Cricetulus griseus: one gene and its partner. The main gene of each other region encodes a partner of the protein of the gene in region 2 in a complex. Links are inferred from orthologs where the notes say so. Each region holds a gene or a part of one and is shown on either strand. Other genes may lie near its edges.

What was found.
Region 1: Ralgapa1 (region 2) and Ralgapb share a complex: the UniProt entries of both Homo sapiens proteins name them as parts of the heterodimeric RalGAP1 complex. The link is inferred for Cricetulus griseus from reciprocal best matches to the Homo sapiens genes RALGAPA1 and RALGAPB.

What each region holds. Positions count from the first base shown.
Region 1 is NC_048599.1:21,060,971-21,064,789, reverse strand, and holds part of Ralgapb (ral GTPase-activating protein subunit beta), read left to right. Parts: intron 1-89; coding exon 90-268; intron 269-623; coding exon 624-772; intron 773-878; coding exon 879-1,095; intron 1,096-3,819. UniProt on the Homo sapiens protein: Non-catalytic subunit of the heterodimeric RalGAP1 and RalGAP2 complexes which act as GTPase activators for the Ras-like small GTPases RALA and RALB.
Region 2 is NC_048598.1:146,589,498-146,593,860, reverse strand, and holds the start of Ralgapa1 (ral GTPase-activating protein subunit alpha-1), read right to left. Parts: upstream 2,825-4,363; 5' UTR 2,795-2,824; coding exon 2,689-2,794; intron 1-2,688. UniProt on the Homo sapiens protein: Catalytic subunit of the heterodimeric RalGAP1 complex which acts as a GTPase activator for the Ras-like small GTPases RALA and RALB.

The DNA of each region.
Region 1 (3,819 bases), on a different chromosome or scaffold from region 2:
TCCTAATTCTTAAATTGGATTGCATGTGTTTTTATTGCTGTAGACATTTCTAAGTGTGTAATGGATTTTTTTTTTCTCCTTTTTAATAGTAATCCTGTGGATCTGAGTAACCCAGCCATTATAAGCTCAACCCCCAAGTTTCAGGAACAGTTCTTAAATGTGAGTGGGATGCCACAGGAGCTGAGCCAGTACCCCTGTCTTAAACATCTGCCTCAGATATTCTTTCGTGCCATGCGTGGAATCAGCTGTCTGGTGGATGCATTCTTAGGTGAATTTTGTGTATGTTTCTTAGATGTTTGAGAGCTGTGTGTAGATATTCTACAGCGTAATGCTGGAAGCTCTTAGGAAAGCCCAGAGAAAGAGGAATAAACTTCATGATAAATAACAATCTAGGGAAAATTATTTTCAGCAAATTGTGATAGATAGAATGCTACTGCCTTTATGTAAATAAACAAAAATACCATAAAAAAGACAGTAACCTAGTAGATAAAAACACAAATGATTCGCAAAACATTGTAAATTGTAAAACTCATTGTACGAGTTACCCTCAAAAATAGTTTAAAATGCTCTGGTGACTGTTTTCATAGATATCTTTTTTTTCTTTTTTTTTTTTTTTTTTGTAGGTATTTCTCGACCAAGATCAGACAGTGCTCCCCCAACACCCGTGAACAGATTAAGTATGCCTCAGAGCACTGCTGTGAATACCACACCACCACATAACCGGAGGCACAGGGCTGTTACTGTGAATAAGGCCACCATGAAGACAAGTGCAGTAAGATCATTCAGCATCATTTAGCTTTATGAAGGTTAACTTTTATAAGTCCCAAACTCTTCCAACTTTTCATGGCTGTGGACACTTACTTGTGTTCTTCTGCTAGGTTACTACTGTTCACACTTCGAAAGTCCAGCACCAGGCATCCTCTACTTCTCCTCTGTCAAGTCCAAATCAGACTAGTTCAGAGCCCAGGCCACTGCCTGCCCCTCGGAGACCAAAGGTTAACAGCATCTTGAATCTCTTTGGATCATGGTTATTCGATGCAGCATTTGTTCACTGCAAACTCCATAACGGAATAAACAGAGACAGCAGCATGACTGGTAAATATGCCCAGAAACATGTAGTCATTATTCCCTTTCTGTTTCTTTCTCTTTAGTCTTTCCTACCTGCAAGATTAATACAGCTCTTGAAAGCACCCTGTTTCTCACCAAGCAATATGTTGTGCTTAACCCCTTCCAGCTGAACCAATAGAAACTTGTGAAGTATTCCTATCTGTCCTTTTTATGTATACTTTATGAAGTTTGGTCCTTTGCCTGGTTTTATTAGGGACTCTTCAGGTTAGCCACTTTGTGTTGAATCAAATTCCATTTTTGTAGGTGACCTGGAAATTCCCTTCATGTCAGCCAGGATAATAATAGATTTATGAACAATTAAAGGTTTTGAGTAAAAGTTTATTCATTGAAATGTTTTCTTAGATTTTTCACAACCATTTAATCATCATTACATGTAAATATCAGGAATTTTCTGTTTTCTTAATAAACCAATCCCAGTATCTTCATTGGATTTACTATAGAATGAAATCGTCTAAATGAAATTGGATTTATTTTGTCAACTTACTACTATGCTTAGAGCTAGTGCCAGATGGATGGGTAAGTCAGGGCAGAATGTTTGGAATGGTTATCATCTGTCTTGCACAGCTGAATAATAATAATGGCTGGTATTTATTGAGTTGCTGTTAGTGTGTGCCGGGTCCCATGTTTATGCATTAATTAGTATATTAGTTGTTTTCTAAATAAATACTTTTCTACAGGAGTTGGAGACAGATTGAGGTAAAAAGATTTCTGATAGTATTACTTTCTGACAGTTTTATTCTCCAGAGGACACTGTTGAATTCAAGGATAAAATTAAGTGTTCATAAGGGTCTCTGCTTTTTCTCAGAAACTCATTCACAGCTAGGTTTATGTCTGTGAATATTTTGTAAGTGTAATTATTTTGGATGTTCTTAGAAACTTTTAAATAATTTAGAAAAGTTTTAAGTATGAAGTTGTTATGGAATATGAGGCTGCATGAGTGAGTTTGAGATTCTTTTGCTTGCTTTATTTTGTTCAAATTCAGGCGCTTTATATTTTTCCATTTTTACATTATGGTTTTATTCATGAGCTCCATTAAATTAAAAGTTTTAAAAACCATTCATGGGTATATTTTCATTATCTTATGTGCTATATGTTTTGAATTTTCTGAACCATGTTTATTAATTTATATAGTATTGTCCAGAGTGAGTTAGCCTTTAATTTTTTGATAAGGTGTGTTTCTTACAATGTAACCTAACTGTTGAGTAGGGAGCTGTTGGCTTTGCAAAAAATCTCTGAGTCTAGAATGGCTTAATCTGCTGCTTTCTGGTAGGCTTGTATAATGAGTATCTAGAGCTTTCTATCTCTGGGGAGTTTGTAACAGCTTTGTTATTTCACTGTACTAGAAGAATTCAAATGACAAGTGAGCAACATCTCACTTTCCCGTCTTAAAGGAGAGACATTCCTTCTGTCTGTGTTCAGAGATGCTAAAGGCTGTTACATTACCCAGGAGATTTGAGGTGTCCAAATAGTTAAAGTAGATTTAGAGTGCTCTTGGGTGCCAGTCTGGAAGCCTTGGATGGGAGGTGGGGGGATTGGGGTATCGTGTGTTTTCTAAGTACTGGCTGCCATCAAGGAATTCTGCCATGCAGTTCACCTTTAACTCAAGTATTTGCTTCTTTGAACTTGTTAGCTTTCAATTTACCTGATGCACTGTGCTTTGTAAAAGTAACATTGAGCTGGGAAGGGTTAATGAACTAAAAATTTTGATGCACGATATGGGCAGTTCAAAACCTCAATTCTTTGTAGCTATGTAATTTTCTTTGTTCATTGTTTTGCATGATACAAAAATCATAATTTTGGACCTGAATGCACAATTTCCTATGTTTTTGAACTAGCTTGTGGTATCATAAACTTTAAATCTAACTTTTAAAAAGCTAAAAAGCTTCTTAATTTATTGTAAAATTTCACCATCTTTAAAGTATTTTATAATTACTGCTGTCCTTTGATTTGTTTCCATTTATTTCTATTATCTTGCAGCATCTTTTATCCAAATTCTTCTTTCTTATAAATCTTGTAAGTAGGAACCAGAAGCTTCTCCTTAATTGCAGTCATGTTTTTATTTTTTCCATAATTCCATTAAAATTTTTGATTGTCATTGTCTATTGTAGTTTTTGCACTTGGGAAGGAAAATATTTTTTCTGTGTTTTGAATGGGGAAGATTGTTGGCAAAAGCAAATTAATCTGCCTGAATCAATCCCATTATTTCTGTATACTAGTCTGGTCATGTCATGAATTCCAGGACTTTGCACTAACTGTGTTTTGGCTTTTTTCTTTTCTTTCTTTCTTTCTTTCTTTTTTTTTTTTAAGCTTTAAGCTTATTTTTATACAGATTTAGTGTTTGATTTGTATGCATTCTGCATGTAGTGTTTTCCAAATGTATTATTGCTGGATAGCTTATTCAGGACTAAAATGGCTCATGGGAAGTTGCATAAAGATTTATGCTTGACTCTGCATTTATTAAGCCTCCTATCATTACAAAACAATTTAAACATTTTATGTAGAGTAATAAAAGATTTCAGAGTGATCTGTGTGCTGTGAAATCTTTTGTTAAAAGCAACTTTCGAAGGGCTTCTGTTTTGGTGACAATGAATGACCATGATAATCCTCCTTATCAACCCAGTTTTCTGATTTATCAACCTCAAGTTTGCTGCTGTCTGTGGTTGTTAAAATTCATTCTCATTTGCTTGGTTC
Region 2 (4,363 bases):
GATCTGTACAGAAGACCACACTAAAGTAGCTATAGAATAGTGGTGCCAACAGGAGACAGGTCATGCCTGAAAACACTTTTTCTAAGTGTGGGGGGGTGGAGGTTGCTATTTTATTTTCTGGATGTACAGAACTTCCCTATAAGTATCCCCAGTGAATAGCACTTTTTTTTGGTTCAATATGGTTCTGTGTAATTAGCCAACTAAATAGTTTATTCATTGTATTTACTTAAAGCCTTACTTATTTCCAAAAAGGCTTTAAAATGGCTCTTCCAGCTACAAAATAGGATACCAATTGGCAAGTCTCTAAGTGTCCAACTTTGTTTACTTCTCTCTCTCATTTTCTCAGAAATCATATTAATCTTATTTTAAGTAACCATAAATATATAAAAATATAGACTATTTTACTAAATTTAAATATTGAAGCTGAAATGTTGCTCAGTAACAAAGTGCCTGCTAGCACACTTGGGCCCCAAGTTCAATTCCTAGCCATGAGGCAGAGGGAGAGAACTTAAAACCAAGCTTCGAATTTGGGAGTCCATCTTACAGTATGCATTATGACAAGGTCTCAGATCCTGGTATTCTGACTCTTCAAACTTGAATATCCTTTTTGAGAGATTTTTCCATTCATTTAGCAGTGTCTAGCATACTAGACATAATCTAGTAGCAACTCCTCACAGAAGTGTTTCCAGATATGGTCACCTATCTGGTACTGATAAAATCTGTCCAATTAAGTACCATGGTTCTACAGCTACTTTAGTGTAGTCTTCTACTCTAAAGGCACAGGTCTGTAAGAATGTTCAACATCTGAGAGTCCTGAAAGATGTCTTCTGAAGTGATTTTTATTTTTTAAAAAAGAGTATCCTTAATAAAGGGGGAAAATGGTGGGTTTTTTTTTTCTTTTTAAGTGTTTTATTTTCAAATTGAAGAAGCTAGTTCTACAAACTATCCAACATGACTATAATTCATCTCTCATGTTTCCCAAGTTAGTAAACACACACACACACACACACACACACACACACACACACACACACACAGTGTGACACACACAAAAAAACCACAAAAACCACATGCCAAAGAAATATAAAGAAACCAATCCTTAATCAACTGTGGCGGTTAATTTAAGAAATCGCAATACCCTGGTGTAATTCAGCTTTTTAGTTCTGCATTTATGCAGTCCACAGCTTGTCTCAAGTGAGTGTCAAGTTCCACTAAGTGTCCAGTTTCACACTGCCATTATTTTGTAATACATCTACATTCACGATGACTTTGTATGTCTCAGTCATATCTTTTCAGACAAATCTTGCTTCAATGACAACTCCAGAATGAAAATGTTAAAAACTTCTACCATATCTAAATGGTTTACATAAACTGGGTTTAATTCCCTTCTCATTATACCACAGGAATAAGTACTTGTGATAAGGATTAGCTGTCATACATGTAGGAAAGATGAAAAACAAATTAAGAGACACAAAATCTGGGCTTCATTTGTGATTTAGTCTCCCATCAGTTTAGTAGAAACATGGCTTAATCTTTCTTGTTGGTACAAAAAAATGTCAATAATATCTCTATTTGTAGACAGATTGCAAAGATCGATTACAATAATTCATGTGAAACCCTTTGTAGATGGCAAAGCACCACACAAATGTTGGGTGTTATTAGTGGTGTTAGTTACAACACATTAAGGAAATATATCTCTGACACAGACACACCAATAAACATGCAAGTCACTTCCCAAAACAGTCATTAGGAAGAAAGCTTGAGATGATAAACTTTGAATTCGAATCCAGGCATGTGGGCTCTAACCTCAGTTATGCTATTATTCTATACACGAACCCTGGCCAATTTCCCTTTTCATCCCCAATTTCTTCATCAAAACAAAAAGAAGTACAGAACCAAAAGTTCCATAAGTACATAGCTCTCAGTCCTTCACAATATCTACGACCAAGTATCCAAAAACCCTCATTTAACATTATATCCCAAACTCAGCTCGGTTCGGTCTTTGGAAAAAACTCAAGTTGAAGACGGCTGACAGCAAGAAAACTTTCATGAAAATTGAATTCGGTACAGTTCTTGCTCTCTATAATTAGTTTTCCTTCTAAAGGACAGCAAATGAAGAACAGGGTGTATTGAGAGTAGGGCGGGGTCCTCTCCCACAAGCTTCAGGAGCCACCCACTTCCCAAAGAGGTGTAACTGCTTCCTCCAGGCCCTCCCTCACCTGCCAAAAAAACTTGAAGGACTACGGGTTATACTGCCCAAGCGAGCATTTTGCTTTTCTTTCCACTTGGGTGGGGATGACAGTAGTCATCTGGCAACACACATCCTCTAAACACCATTACCCACAACACCAAGTGTCCCTGAAGTCTCATCAAGGACTTAAGTTTCTAAGCTGACGCTCGTTTTTGTTTTTGTTTTTAAAAAGAATTCAGACCACGAACTCAGACGTGGGGTCTCTCCGTGTTGGCGCTGATTGGTTTGTGCCAACTGCCAAGCTGCCCCTACCCTCGCCGCCCGCCCGCCCGCTCCCTCGCCCGCCCGCTCGCCCTCCCGCGCGTGGGCACAGGCGCCGCCGGCCCTCACTCCGGACCGCGCCAAGTCGCGAGGGCGAACCCCGGAGCTCGCGGGGATGACGGGCCGGGCGGGCAGCGAGGCCGAGGCGTCGCCCCCGGGGTCGCTACCCTCCTCACCGATGACGATGCGCAGGTGCTTGAGGCGGGTCAGCGCGTCCTTCTTGGTGTCCAGCACCTTCTGGGTGGACTTCTTCACGTCCCCGTGCGGCTTCTTAGAGAACATCCTGCGGCCGCCGCGGCCCCTCCCGGCCGGGTCCCGACGGCCCAGCGCAGGCGGTGGGCGGGGAAGAGGCTAGCGCCGGCGGCTCATGCGCTCCTCCGCCGCGCGGGCCCCGCTGCCAGGCCGCCTCGCGCCGCCGCCGCCGCCGCCGCTGCACGGAACCCGCGCCCGGCTCCAATATGGCGGATCCGCCCCGCGCGCTGCAGCGATGAGGAGACGCGGAGCGGCCGCCGCCGCCGCCCAGGCCGCGGCTCGGGCCCCACAGCCGCAGAGATGGAGCACTCGGCCGCGGCGCCACTCCTCTCTCCCTGAGGCCCCCTTAAGGCTGAAGCTTCTCTAGCAGCTTCAACCGCGCAGAGGCCAGAACCGAGTCTTGTGGGGATGGACTTTCACGACTCTGCCGTCGGTGGCGAACGGTCCCCGTGGCAACCGCCTTCTGACGTCAAGTGCTCGTGACGTCATGCTAGCGTGAGCTCATGCCTGCCGCCGCTGTAGCCTCTTGGTTTCCCGTTTTAGCACAAATGGAGAAGGGCAAGAAAGTTAAGGAGGGTGCTCGTTGTAAACGGCAGTTCCTAGATTGTTTTGTTTTGTTTTGTTTAAGGTCTTCGGTCTCCACTCTTTAGATCGCTCCTAGTAACTTAGGATGTGCAAGGTCAGCGCGATGCCAGCTCTGAAGCCTTGGCTGTGACGTCATTTCACTTTCTAACTTGGGTTCTTCCTGCGTTTTGCAAACTAGTCACTTTCTAATTTTGATTCTCCCTGTGTTTTGCAAAAAATAATGATTGAAAATGTACTGTGCTTTAGAGATGCGTGGGTGCATGGTACATCCTTTTCCTTTCAACTACCGTGCACATGGATGGCTAGGGGTACAGCTGGATGGTGATCTCCAGTGCAAAAAATAGACATAAATCGATAACGTATCTTGTACAAGTAAATGAATCCCACCATGTATCAGAGAGAAAAATTAAGGAATCTGGTTGACTGTAAAGGAAGGCTGTCTTAGCATACAAAGTACTCACATGAATCCAAAGAAAAATGTGTACAGTCCAAGTAGAAAAATTAGCTGTGTGTTAGTGCTCTCCTGTCGCCCCAGTATTTCCGGGGTAAAACAAAATTCATGGCCAGGCTCAGCTACATTAGACCATGTCTCCAAACCAAACCAAAACAGAAAATAGAGAAAATAAAAATATGAATAATAATCACAGGATTATATACCTCTTGCTTCCTTGTCAGTGTCTGTTATGGAATAATCTTTCTGTACGATGTGAAGATGCCTCTTTGACAAGGCGCCTTCTGATTGGTTTAATAAATGAGTTGACTCCACCTACAAGTGTCTCATTACTCTTGCAGAGGGTACCTATTGATCTGCCTTCTGTCACTCTGAATTTGTATTTGTTAGAGGTTTTTATTTGTATTTCTCCTTTAGAGATTTTTAAATATTTATTTTTATTTATTTATGTATTTGGGTTTTCAAGAAAGAATTTCTCATGTAGCTCTGGCTGTCCTGGAACTCGATCTGTAGACCAAGCTGTCTTCAAACTCAGAGATCCACCTGCCTCTGCCTCTTGAGTG